Linked DNA regions of Drosophila melanogaster. Changing the gene in region 1 together with any one later gene gives a genetic interaction. Each region holds a gene or a part of one and is shown in the gene's direction. Other genes may lie near its edges.

What was found.
Region 2: of S (region 1) and bun, changing one enhances a phenotype caused by changing the other (phenotypic enhancement), as found in Drosophila melanogaster (one study listed by BioGRID).

Annotation. Positions count from the first base shown.
Region 1 is NT_033779.5:1,073,598-1,081,488, reverse strand, and holds the start of S (star), read left to right. Parts: upstream 1-3,673; 5' UTR 3,674-4,654; intron 4,655-7,891. Other genes in the region: Atg4a (Autophagy-related 4a), read right to left, coding at 62-245; ast (asteroid), read right to left, coding at 779-2,368, 2,424-2,864, 2,921-3,454.
Region 2 is NT_033779.5:12,542,102-12,548,161, reverse strand, and holds the start of bun (bunched), read left to right. Parts: upstream 1-1,550; 5' UTR 1,551-1,752; exon of another isoform or gene 1,753-2,519; intron 2,520-3,818; exon of another isoform or gene 3,819-4,222; intron 4,223-4,563; exon of another isoform or gene 4,564-4,986; intron 4,987-6,060. UniProt on the Drosophila melanogaster protein: Probable transcription factor required for peripheral nervous system morphogenesis, eye development and oogenesis.

The DNA of each region.
Region 1 (7,891 bases):
ATGCTGACCAATATGCTAGATTTGTACCCATATGACAGCATTAAATAAGGTCTCATCTTACCCTGTATGGCGTTGTACTTCTTTCCCAGGACCCAGACGTCGGTGTTTCTTCGGGGAATGTCCTCCGGCTCTCCGCTGCCCACCGCCTGGCCAACTGCACTAGCGAGGACGCTGTCTGGGCCCAAGTACGCCTCGAAGACGCTCTCCATGATCCGCGCTAGCTGGTCGCTGAGTCCAACCAGCATCTACTGCCCGGTGCGCTGGCAGAAGGAGAAGGGGGTGGACACCAGGGCCTCCGCTGCTCGTCTATACGATAATTGCCTTCGAATGACGTTCTGTTTTTCGGGTGGGCCTTTGTTTTGGCCTGTGTTTTCGCTGGCAGCAACGGCAATGCTCCTGCTTCTGGCCCGAGGTCACAGGGGTTTCATTTGTTGTTGGCAGTGACGGGCGCTGATTACAAACTATGCGATAACCAGCATTTGATCAGTCTGCGGCTGGTTTAGTTTGATTTATTTTTCTTTTTTGTTGATTACAACGCAGTGACGTAGCTGTTAGTATGACCGCAACTGATAAGGTATTTTACTTTGCCAAAATACCGAACCTTGCACTTAACATGACCATAACATAGGAAATAACAGTATTTTTCCAAACTGTTAATGAAATGCATTCAAAAATGAAGTTTTTTAAAAAATATTTAATTTTTTTCTTATTTTACGCAAAGTATAGATTTGTAACAATGTAAAAACTTCAAAATTGCACGTGCGGGACTTCAAACTAGCTACGCTACCTTGAGTGCGCAGAATTTGTTGTTCAGATCGAAGAAGTCGTTTTCTGGATCGGCATCCTCGACCATTTCCGCATTGGGATCCGCGATGGCCTCCCTTAGCTCCACTTTCCTAGCCGCCTGACGCTGCTTCTTCAATCGCTTCTTCTGCAGGGCCTTTGCCGCCGTCGGATCCACCTCCAATCGCTTCCAAGTTGGTATAAACTCCGCGCACCAGTCGTACAAGTAGCAATAGAAATCGAACATCAACTTGGAGTCGGGCAGCAGGAAGTTCTCAACATGGTAGCGGACATCGGCACGATTCCTCAGTACATCATACATGTTGTAGAGAAAGGCGCCGCAATAAAGCTGGTTCATCCTCGGACTCAAAAGTGGAAAATCCAAAAGAGAATTTAGCCCATTGAGTTGGTAAACCACAGCCTGAAATTCAGCAAATGCGTGGATAACCGTGGTGGAGTACAAGTCAAACTTCTTTTTGAAGATCTCCTGCATATGGAAGTGCGGCAGTAGGCGTTCCTGAGTTAAATAGCAGTCCGATTTGGGTACATGAGCCATCCGATCTGGAACAGAAAGCTCTAGCAGAGCAGGTTTGATGCCGCGCTTAATTCCCTCGGCAGCTTCCTTATCCCTCACTGCTCGCTCTGCTTTCAATGTCTTGCCAAATCTTTTAAGGAAGGTTTTCACCTCTCGTTCAGCAGGGATTGTAACATCTATGGTTCGTAGGACAACCAAACTAAGGATCAGCGAGTGAAGATGCAGCAAATCACAGTGCTCCGAGCGATGTAACCAGTAGATAATGGCCAGAAAGTACAGCCTCAGGTCCTCCGGCAACTGGTCGAGCTTGCTGAACAACTTCTCCGTATCCGCATTGGGAGCATTGTCTTCGAATACAGCTCTTAAATGCCTAGCATCCGGCGAAAGAGGATCAAACGGATAGGCAGGCTTCTTTTCAATGGGCATCTTGAAATACCTCACGTTCGTCACTCGCAGAGCTCTGGTGAGGTAGGTGAGATAGGGGACTGTCGAACCCTCTATATCCATATCCACTTCTAATGGTAGCTCAATTTTCTCACACTCTACGTGATGGAGAAGAGCGAACACGTAGTTCAGGATGGGTAAGGCCACTTCATTGGAGTCGTGGAAGGGAAAGTGCTCGATCTGTGGGTTGTTGATGTACTTGCGCAGGTGCATAAGGTCCACGAAGCTGCGGGGCAGGTGCGCGGGATATAGTTTGTCCAGAAACCATTGTGGGAAGAGTAGCGTTTTGTCTTCCACTTCCAGCTCGAGGCCTTCATCCGCCTCCTCTTCTTCTTCATCACCCGAATCAACGTCTTGATTTTCTTCCTGCTGCTCCTCATCTTGGTTATCAGCTTCCTCCTGATCCTCGCCTTCTTCGACATCTGAAAATTTTTCATCGGAGCTAGACGAATGTTCATCGTCGCTGCATTCCTCTTCACTGACGGGTTCTATATAAGGAAAAGCATTCTCGTAGTGCTCATCGAAGTAATCGTAGGCGTGGCACAACTCGTTGGAGTAACCAGAGATGGCTGCATTCACTTGGGAGACCAGGGAATCACGCTGGTTCTGCAAGAATATTATTTTTAGCATAAATCGGAAAAAGATATCTCAAGCAACGAACCTTTTTCAGTCTCGACAGCACTTTAGCCAGAGCAGATTCCGCCGTTTCCTCCTTCAGCCATGTGAGGATGACCTGTATGCGCTTCTGCTGGAGCTTTAGTTTGCGACTTCGTCCTGCTTTGCCCATTCCCGCAGCAAAAAAGTTCTTGAAGGCACTGCGGGCAATATAGTCATTGCCCAGGAGGGCGGCAAAAAGGGGTAGCTTCTCGGGACTCAGAGTTCCTCGTCCGCAGAGATGGGACACCCGGTAGATGCAGCAGTCGAGGTACTTGTAGGTCTTGGAACTGCCTTTTGTACTGGCTGTCAGCCCTGTGGTTTGAATGCCAGTCACAATCTTGTTGGCCCTGGTGCGCTTCTTCACATTCTTGGCCTCGCAGTGACGTAGATCTCGACTGTCCTTCTGGTTGCTGCTGTTCTTGTCCTTCACCTGCTTGGTGAGAACCTGGGGTACATGGAATCGCTTAGTATATGCTGGAATCCAAATAACTTATGCCTTACCTTAACAGTCAGCGTGATCAGCGGGATGTACTTGACGTTGTGGATGTAGAAATCCGAGTCGTAGGAGAGCACTGGGCAGTTAAGTTTCCTGGCCAGAGCAGCCAACTCGTCGTCCGCCTCAAAGACGCACCTCATCACCGGGACTCCGCAGTCGCGCACAGCGTCCACGAAAACCTCCTTGAGGTGCAGCGGGAACAGCGTGATGGATGCATTGGGGTTTATCTTCTTGATCACGGAAATCTTGTTGCGCAGCCGGGTGCTAACGGTCCTCAGCTTGCGCTCCTCGTACCCGCCGTCCATGAGCACATAGGGCCGAATGTTGCACTCGGCCAGAACCTGGAAGAACTGCACCACGGCGCGGTAGAAGTCGTCGTAGTCGCCGCCGAAGGCGGAGTAGCTCCCGGTGACATCCTTGTACAGATTGCAGCTCAAGTTGTCGCCATCGATGACCAGCGCCGTGGAGTGCAGCTCGTGCGGCTTAAGGTAGATCTCCGCGCGCTGCGCTATGTAACTGGTCAGGCCGCGGACTCCCATTTTCCCGGCGCTTGCCTATTTTCCCAATTTTCTATTTACCTATTTTGCACAAACTTTAAAAGCGTGCTAATAGTGATGTCAGTTTGCAGTGCGATACTATCGATGTACATATCGATTCTTTAGCGTGGCCGTTCGCTGCCGTTTGGTATATATGAGCGATTAGTTTGGTATCTAGGGTATTTCCCGCAGCCGGATGGTATATTCCGGGGATGGCGCCGCGGTCACACTCTGTCCCGACAATTCCAACCCGACGCTTGTCTGCTCTCCACCCGCGCATCAAACGTCGAAAAATCGTAACGTCGCGAGTGCTACGCGGTGGCCAGGAGAAAAATTCGCCAGCAATAGCAACACTTGTACCGAAAATCTAAAGGAAACTGGGAAATGTACTAGCACAAACACAGCGAGTGCAGTGGAAACCGAAATCGCCATTGAATCGAAGAGCGCGTGCATATATACGGGTTCCGTTGGTTCCGTTCCGTTTCTTGTCGCTTTTCTTGCACACACTTTACCACTTTACCTTTGCGTCTCTCGTTTCGTGCGTGCGTGTGTGTGTGCGCGGAGTGTGGTGTGCGTGCGTGTGTGTTGTTTTTGTGTGTTCGTTTAACTAAAGCACAGGTAGAAGGAAAAGCAGCGGAAAAAAGAAAACCATGGGCGAAATATGCATATGAAATTAAGTAAATACAAGGCGACAGCAGCAGAAAACATCCAGTAGCAACGAGAAACAACAACAACAATAACACACGTTAATAACTCAGCTTTGTGCGTCTTTCGTCTGCGCTTCACATAGTATTATTTTTCTCTTGGATTTTCCACACAAAAACACCATGAGTGAGCGAGCGAGAGCGACGATCGTGATCACCGTGTCGTGAATGAATTTTTGTCAGTGTGTGCGAGGCGTGCTCTACGCACACACACACGTACGTAAACAACACAACCACACACGGCCCATCATCGATCACCAATCACCTGTGTGTGTGTGTGCGGCATTTAATAAATAATTGTGTGCAAATAAATGTTCCAAAAGGAAATTGTTAAGCCAAACCAGCAAAAAACGTAAATCAACCGTGCGATAATTCGTCCTAGAGTTGAAAAAAAAAGACGGTTCAAAAGCAAGTGCGTGTGTGCAGAGTTCTTCTGGTGTCTTGGGAGCTTCGTTTTACGGATACGAAACATATATAACTTCCCTCTTTGCCGAAAAAGGTGAGTTCAAAATCAGGGAAAAATCCCTTTCCCATTGGCCAAGGCCGTTCCGGGAAATCTGCGAGTGGTCTTGGCCCACGTTTCCTGTCTTCCGCACATTTTCACACGTCCTGCAATTGCAATTTTTTCCGATTTCCCAACTCTGCACCTCCTGTATGTTCGGCGATTCCCACGCCTCTTTTTTTCGGGGCAGGTATTCGCAGGTAGCGGAAAGAGGAAAAACCCTCGGGAAAGCCGATAAACTAGAGAAAACCTCTGTTGGTGGGCCGAAAAAACCAGAAAAAATAGAAGAATTGAAATGTTTTCCCTGGCTGCTGAAACAGAGAAAATCGGGCGAAATTAGGCACCCGCTGATTCCAGAAAATTGCTCGTATAATAGAAACATCTCACTGGGGGAGAAATAAATTATCGTTATTATCATCTGCAGTTGCAATTTGGCACAATTTCGATATGACTGTGCTCCCATTTGCCCGGCGATTATGTAATTTTCGCCGCTGTGCTCGAGAATCAGGTTCATTTTCCATATGAAAAAGGGGGCTTTGCTGCAGACATTGCATATATGCCGACGATCTGGCGACCACCGACAGTTGCCAGCAATTTCCGGCGCTTTTTGGCAACTGGAAATCGAGCACAAAAGTTCATCCCAGGGCTTAGAGAGCCGCAAAAGGCGTAGCCATCCATATTCACCCCATCCCAAACGCATTTCCCAATGTGGTTTATAGTTTTCCTACAGCTGTTGCGACTGCGATTTTAACGATTTTTACTGGTAATCCGGGGAGGAAGTGAAGTTCATAGCGGTTCGACCAGTTGATACCTCTTAATAAACTGTTTGTAGGGCATTTCTGAAAAGGAAATATTCCAAAGCGAGATTTGGTTAGTCTCAATCCTTAGAACAGCATTGCTCACTTCCTTACACAAGTGCATACTACCCTCGCATACCCTGTAATCAGTGGGCACCATAAAAAGAGTTTGAATTTCAAATAAAATCCACTCTCCGGCACACACACAAGTCCACTGGGGAGCAGCTGCTGTGTGTCTCTTTGTGCTTGGTCTCAAATGACACTTGCCAGCGCTGCTGCTGCATATAATTCCGAGTTCTGGGGAATTTCCTAGTAGGAAGTGCAGGGGCCACAGCGAAAACACCAGCAAGAGTCGCACTTGATGATTGTCTTGCCACGGCTATTGCCGTCCCACTCTGGAAACGTAAATAGAGAGGCCCGATAAAGAGCGGTCTCGAACTTCCCCCAGTTGTGTTGCCTCTAACCCAACTGAAACTGAGTGGAATCGAGGTTTTCTGGCGGCATAAAATTTGATAGCAATTAAGATATTTGTTAGAACTGTTTCTAATGTCACATGTGCTGCGTGTAGGAGTCTCATCCTGCACTATCTTGTTTTTCGCACTTGCCCCGTTCCCATTTCCCGGCTGGTACTCCAGTTACTTGCCGCAATTGACCAATTAAACAATTGTCTTTGATTAAATGTGCAAATTTGTCTAATGTTCTGCACTGCGCGTATGTGCAAAGCGGATGTGCCCGCTTAAAGCTGCGCTTAAATTGCCCGCGTAATTTGTCACTGATCTCACTTTCTCAATTGGCGATCTCTGATTTCTGAGATTCCTGATCTCTGCCTGGCCAATTAGGCGTCATTATGCGGCAGGCAAGAAGGCACCGTTAGATGGAGCCATTGCAACAGTGGCCAGAATAATAACAGCGACTAGGAAATAATGGCTAATGGCCTATACCTTTGCCCATCTAATGCTTCTTGACCTACAAGCCTCCACAGGCCTCTCGCGTTTCCTGCCCGCTTTCATTTACTGTTAATTATTGTTTAGAAAAGCGCGGGGGCGGGGGCCAATAATAATAAGAAGAAGAAAAAGCAGCAGCATTGGCCAATAAAAGCTTGCAAACAATTTCGAATTTCCAAATGGTTTGAAATGCAGCCCAGCTGGCAACAGAGGAAAAGAGGCAGCCAAATCAACCGAAAGGCAACACGGGGCCATAACAACAATCTTGCTCGCACATTCATAATAGGCGAAACAGAGGCGGCCAAAAAAGTAGGACTGTTTCGTACAAAAATATATAGTAGGATCTTAACGAAATGTAGTTTTCATAGGATCAAATGATAATGTACTGTGTTTATTCGCAACTGAAAAATACAAAATATTCTGACCAACTGTATTTTTAGATAACAGCAATATTTGTAACTACTCTATTATTCCGAGCCCTACTGTACGCATACACACACACACACACAGAATCAACAAATAAAGTAATTATTTCCTTTCACATGGCGAGCTACCTCCAAAATCGGAAAGACATAAAGAAGAATATAAAAAGCGGAGAAGCCCCAAGACCCAAAAATAAAATCCAACAAAATCCGCTGTCGGCGTCGATTCCTTTGTTGTTGTTTTGCTGCAGCGGTCCCAACACGTGCAATTGGGAGCGAGCGAGAGGGGGAGAGTAGGAGCGAAAAGAAACTAATAGGCCAGTAGTACGAATCGCAGAGGAGTGAGCAGTGCAGTGGCAATTTTGCATCGATCTCCCACTCAATGGGCAAAAAACGGAGCTCGAAGTTGTGAGTGACATGTGTGAGTGAGGCTCGAAGTGAATGAATGGCACAATCTGTGATTGATTCATGCACAACTAGATGACTAAATTCGCTTTCGGCCCATTCTTTCATATCCGTTAGCTGGCCACTCCTTTTGTCCAAGTTTGGTCAACCAAGTTGGCTCGCTCTTTTGCCATTTAATTGATTCATCCACACCAGCAGATATCTGAAATCTGAATCGATCCCAAAATGACACCCAATTTCACTGTTCTGTGAATGAATACGGTTTTTTTTATCACGTGTATGTGGGTGCGAGTGCGCCATCGTCTTACGTTGTAATTTCGCGACTCTATGTCCGTCCTTGTCTGTTGCTAATAAATCAAGACCCATGTTCATTTTGCAACGGCTTTGGATACCCTACAGTGGGTTGCTTCGTTTTGTCAGACTCAACAATAATTGCAAATGGTTTTCTGTGGTTATTTACAATTATGGCTATAAACCTCATTAAAAGTCTTGAAAGCTGCTTAAATTGATAATTACAGTTCCAAAGAAGTAATCACTCATATTCATTGTATCATCATTTGGAAACATCAGTCATTGCAAACACATCAGTCATATCAGTGTCGAGGGTAATCCGCATTCGATGCAACGCTTTTGCCTCTTGTGTTCGCTAGTTTTTGCCATTTATGC
Region 2 (6,060 bases), about 11 Mb from region 1:
CAAATCGTCAAACCTTTGAATGCCACAAGCGAAAAAAGGGGCAGTTTTTGGGGGGCGAAAAATGTTTGCCAAATGTTTTTCCTGCCTGCTGCAATTTAAATGAGACGTTGGCCAAATGCGAGGGTGTCGCCTGCAGTCGCTGTGTGAAAGTGGGCGGGGCGGGGCGGGGCTGGTCAGTGGAATTAATTCTAATCCCGAACACGTTCCGTTGCGAACGAAGTGGTCAGTTGCGATATACTATATAAATATATATATAATTGTATATACATGCATATGTACATATATAGAACTCCTTAGTGGAGTTTCAATTGGTGGAGGGTGCGTCGATCATTAGCGTGATTTCTTTCCGCTTTGACAAGAAAATCAGAACGCTTCACTGAACTCCATCAGGACGAAAAAAAAAAGAAAAAAGGAATGTCTTAGTCGAATGGTGTGACTATTAGATACCCGTTAGCCAGCTTAAGAAAGTTGGTAAGAGTTGAATATATTTAAAGTCTTAACTGATTAAAGTTAGCAAGCAGAGTATCAGCAAGGTACTTAATTAAAAGAAGAACCAAAGAGTTAAATAAATGCAAGAAGGTAACAAGCAGCAGTGCGACTATCAGATACCTGTTACTCCACAAAACTTTCTTGAGAAGTCTTAGCGCTAGAACAGGAAATGCTCAAAAGCAGTTACATAATTACTGGCAATAATTTATGTTTATTTTTAAGCTTTAATAAACATCAATAGAAAAATTTAATAGAAAAAATAGAAAACTGAGCGCCAGTTCTATGTATCTATTTTGTTTATAAAAACAAGTAAAGTATACAAATTTAAGCATTGTTAAGGTATTAATTTTCTTAATGATTCAAATTATTTGTTACATATATTTTTATAAAGATTTACCAATCGAATTTTAGTCGTTTGAATTCGCTTAGATTCGTTGAAATTCGCTTCTAAATCAAAGCAAAGAAGCGAACCAATGTAAAATATATGTAAATGTAAAATTGTTGGTTCGGTACTTCGACGCGGGATCTGTTTAACGATTTTTTCAGTGATTTCGACACAAAAAGAGTAACTACTGCAGTTATTTTGCTAATAAAAAATTTAACTATATTATATGATAATTATAGATGATATGATATTAAATATAAATATAATTAAAATTTATAATAGTCCGATTTTTGACCAGAACTTATTATCGACATTATATAAGCCCATTATATACAAAAATGATTCCTAAAACAATCAAATAAAAGTAGAGTTGTGCCACTCGCCTTAGTATAACTTAGTTCTAAAGTATATGTTAATTTTATGTTAAATTCATTTTCGAATAATGGAAAAACGAGCGCCAATGTTGCGCTAGGGATTTCTAAACGATATGTAAACGATATCGTATATCGCACGACAATCGCCTGCGTGTAGAACTTAACAATCGATAGTTGTATTTAGCACAGAACCAAACCAAAAAATGCTAAAATATCAGTTTTGAACAGTATAGTGTGACCGCTATATGTGCCAAAAATCCCGTATTCAGTATTTGGTATTATTATTTGATATTATATTTTTATTGGCATTTTGAGTTGGGACAAAAACGCAAGGCAAGTTGTTGGTCTTTTTCGCTGTCTGCAGACGGATAAAAAGTAAAAGAACGCAAATCGAACGCGCCGCGAACGTATTGCAAAATCGCTTAACTCGCGGCGCCCTTGAAAACGACGAGGAAAAGCGAAAAAAGGCTGCGAGAGCTAGCGCAAAATCGAAGAAAAAACTGTGTATGTGCGTGCGTGTGAGTGTATGAGTGTGACGTGTGCGTCGCTGTGTGTGTGAGCGAGCTGGCATGCAGATGTAGAGATGTGTGTGCGCTGCTGCTGCGGCTGTGTGTGCGTGTAAATTGAATAAGAAAACGGAGCACAAATGGCACTGATGGAAAATTTATATGTGCGCTGAAAAATTAATTTATTTGCAAAAAGCCAAAGAGCTGCGAAAAGTAAAGTGACAAGCGGAGAGATGTGCAAAATCGAAAGAACGAAAAATTGTGGATTGCCGACTCTCTGCAGATTTGAAGAGAGTGGCAGCGAAAGAGAGACATAGAGAGAGAGTTTGTGTATGTGTGGGTGTGAGCCGCCTTTGCCAGGAAAACTAAAAAGAAAAAAATTCCCTGGCGTTAAAATTTGCACAAAAAATGTTGAATTCGATTGTTTGCTTTCCGCAGTTCGGCGTTTCGCTTTTTTTTTTTGCACAAAACTTTTTTCGCCAATTTTTCATGCACGCTTTTTCGTTTATTTAATTCCTCTCTCTCTCTCTCCATCTCTCTCTCACTCATTTTTTCGCTCTCCGAATCGACTCTCTCGCAGTGCTCTCCGCTTTTTGCTTGTGCACAGCCAAGTGTCAAAACTGTCATTTACCTTCCTTTTGTCCGATTAGCAAAACGCAACGAAAAACTAATATCCCATCCAAATTAAATTCGTGGCCGTTCGCTTGTTTTAAGTTTATTGTTTTACGCCAAGAAACAAGTAATTTTAAATTGTTTGACATACGCGTAAGTGTGGTAAAAATGTAAAAGAGAGGCCTTTGCCTCTTAGTGCAACAAATCGATCAGAAAGTAACCAATAAAAAAGCAAAGCAAATCGAAACATGTTTCAAAACGAAGGAAAAATCAGAGAAATTCAATGAAACAAAAGTGCAAAACAGTCGCGTAATTGTTGGTGTGTGTGTGTGTGTGTGTGTCAGCGTGTGTGCCCATCCTTTTGGTCTGCTTCTTCACTTTCGCTCAGTTGTTGTTGCAGCTTGCACTTTGTACCTTAGATTTTTCCCATTTCCTCTTTCCATTCCCATTTCTCCAAAACAGCTGGCCAAGCATTTGATTAACTCCAATATTCCTTCGTTTTCTACTGTATTTTATGTGCCATTTACCTTTGTTTATAATGTCAGCTGGCCCGGCATTGTTGTTTATTTTCTGTTCTGCTTCGCCTTGATTGTTTAGTCAAGTGTTAGTTTTGTTTTTGTGCCATTTTGCAATTTTCTGCTTATTTGCCATCCGATATTATGGGGTAATTTTTTTTTCATATGTGATTTTTAGTAGAAATTCATATAAAAAATTGTGTGTTCTGTTTGGTTAACGGTAACTCGAATTACACACAAGTGTTTAGAATTATGGATACGTATTTAATAACAGCGGTGTGCAATAATAGTAGATTTGCAAAAACCAACCAGCATTTCTGAGAATATTAATTTCTAGTTTATGAACTAAAATATGAAATTCACTCTGTATGAGTACCCTTTTTATACAAACTTGAAATGAATAAATCTGATTAGCTTTGAATGCCCTTGAACCAATCTACAATATCTTCACGATCATAATGATCATCCCTTTTAACGCATCTCCGATTTCAAAGCAAAACAAAATAAACCTCAGGCCAGATCGGTTTTCTTGTCAAGCCGCGTGGCAAATTTTTCTGCTTACCATGCACCATTTTGTAACTATAACTGGACGATATATTTGCGTTTAGGAATCGGATACACTTCAGATTTCTGCCAACTCTTTGATACAACCGATGGCACAAACTCAGAAAGGTTTGGATTGTTTTGCGAGTTACTTTCATAGGTATCGGTATCAAGAAGTTGCAAGAAATAAGCTGGGGTTTCTTGAACAGGGATCTATCTGCATAAAAGAAATGCGTGTGCAGACAGTCACGTCGACCAAACCAGAATTCAATCAGTTCATTTTTTTTTGTAATGTAGGAATTTCGGGGTTGATTGCTAGCGGAAAAGTACCAATCTTTCAACAACTGGTTAACTTTTTGAATGAAACCATCATAAAAAAATAACTAATTATTTTATCTAGGGTATTGTCACTTTCGGTACATTTAACACCTATTTGCACCAATTTTCTTTGATGTCTTGTTGCTTTATTTACATTCTGCGACTCAATTCAATTGAGAAATTATATTCGATTTCAATTGTATCTGAGTATCTCATGGATGCATTGTCATTGTAATCTCTAGCTTGTTGTTGTTCCTTTTGCAGCCGCCTCCTCCTCATCTTCGTCGCTGCTCTTTTCTCGTTTGATAAACATTTTCATTGCCTTCTCTCTGCATACATCGCTCTCTCTCGCTCTTTCGGGTTCTTTTACTTCCTCCTACAACGCCTTCGTTTTTCTTTTCCTTTTCCCTTGCCATTTTTTTTGCATTGTGAATCATTTCCTTGCGGAAAGGAAAAGAGCGAAGAAAAGGTGGGAAGTGCCTGTGGGTGAAAGACAGGAAAGGAAAGTCACTGATTGAAAAGTTATTAACTCGGTTGAATTTTCATTATGCATTATTTAACACCCTGGTGTCCTTAAAGTTCAGTTTTATATCTGTCAGCAAGGTATAAATTTTTAGAGGATTTTTTAGAGGATAACCCATTTATTTTTTGTTTCTATTTTTTGCTCCTAAAGGCCTTTTTTGTTATATCCCATTTTCGTTTTTGTTTTTACCGATAGTCTTAAAGTTTAGTAGGGCTTGATAAGGTTTTGATGGTTTAGCTGAGAAAGCAGCAGTGCATTTTATTACCGTATTTTGTATTGGCAATATATCCTGGCTTACCTTTGATGCACTGCGAACAATCGGGACACCTTTCCTTTTGCTTTTCATCTTCTTCGGCTGCTGCTATCATCATCAATATTGATTACCGGCAGCTGTCCGAGAGCGGGAGAGTGCGAGCGAGCAGCCGCTCTCCTTTTGCGGTTTGTTTGGTATGCGGCCCCCACCCCGTCCCGCCCACTTGTAGGCGCCCACGTTGGTAGGAAGGAGCATGTGGATGTAGATGCGGTTGCGGAGGGGCCAACAGGCTGCTCTCGCTCTCTTGCAGCTCCCGCTCTCCGATTGCAATTTTCTCAACGCGCATTCGCTCGCTCACACTCACTCTCTCTCGCTCGCGCTTGCCTCTTTCTGTACTATCTGTTGTAGTTGCTTTTCATTACATTTGTTGTTGTTGGCTTGCCATCGATTTTATGCTTTGTCGTTGCAATTAGTTCTTCTTCTGTTGCTTGCTTCTTGTCTGCACTTTTAGTTCTCATTTTCTTTTCACCCCATCTCCTTGTTGTTGCTTTTGCTATTGAGGAAGGCAGTGAGCAGAGGCAGAAGTCCTCCTCCTCCTCCTTTCCATTCGCCGATTTGTTTGTGTGCGAAATCTGGTGCCTACAGCGATACTTTGATTATTGACTGCCGGGGGGTTAAAAGGGGTCCCAAGTTTATTGTCCAGAAGATGAGTTACAAGAATGGATACTCCACTTCCAGTGGTTCTTGATGAATTGGGTATTCTGGTTCGGTTTGGGTGTGCGCTTTTTCAATGGATTAAATTCTCTAATTGAGCCAATTTCGTCTAGATTAATTATCCATTCTAAAGAGCTATTGGTTTTCATTCATAACAACTGATGCCCAATTACCACAACTTTACTCCCTCAAATTATATTCGAAATCAACTTAAGTTGAAGAAGAAGCTTTGGGCCAACACCTGCGTGGCTCAAGAACAAGGCCAATAGACTCTTAAACCCCCAACAAACAGCAGGCCAAAAAACTAAAAAAAAAAAACAAAAACAAAAATACCCACCTTGAGAGAGTGCTACGACCAATGTTGACCTATAACTGATTTTTTGTTATTCAGTTGTTCTTCTGGTTTGCTGGTTTTGTTGGTTGTCTCTTTTTTTCGACTCTCCTAGCCACAGAATAATCAGATTTTTTTGCGTCGTTTATAACTCGATTAGGCAAAAGAAATAAAACAAAATTAAGCGAGAGAGAAAGAATAAAAGAGCAGCGTCAAGGTCTTGACTTTGCCTTCTGGCAGGGCAAACGCAGAGTTCAAACGCCACTACAGTAATCACTCAAAAGTCTATATATGAATTATTATATAAGTTTAGTATTCAGGTCAACAAAATGTCCCTCTAAACAAAACCGTTGTATGAAAGATATTGTTTTGTATATTTAGATATTGCTTTAATGACTCAATATTGAATATTCAATTTGATCTTCTTATTTTTGCTTAAGACCAAAAAAAAATTAATTCAAATTTTCTAAAATTTAAAAAACGATGGTTAATTATGA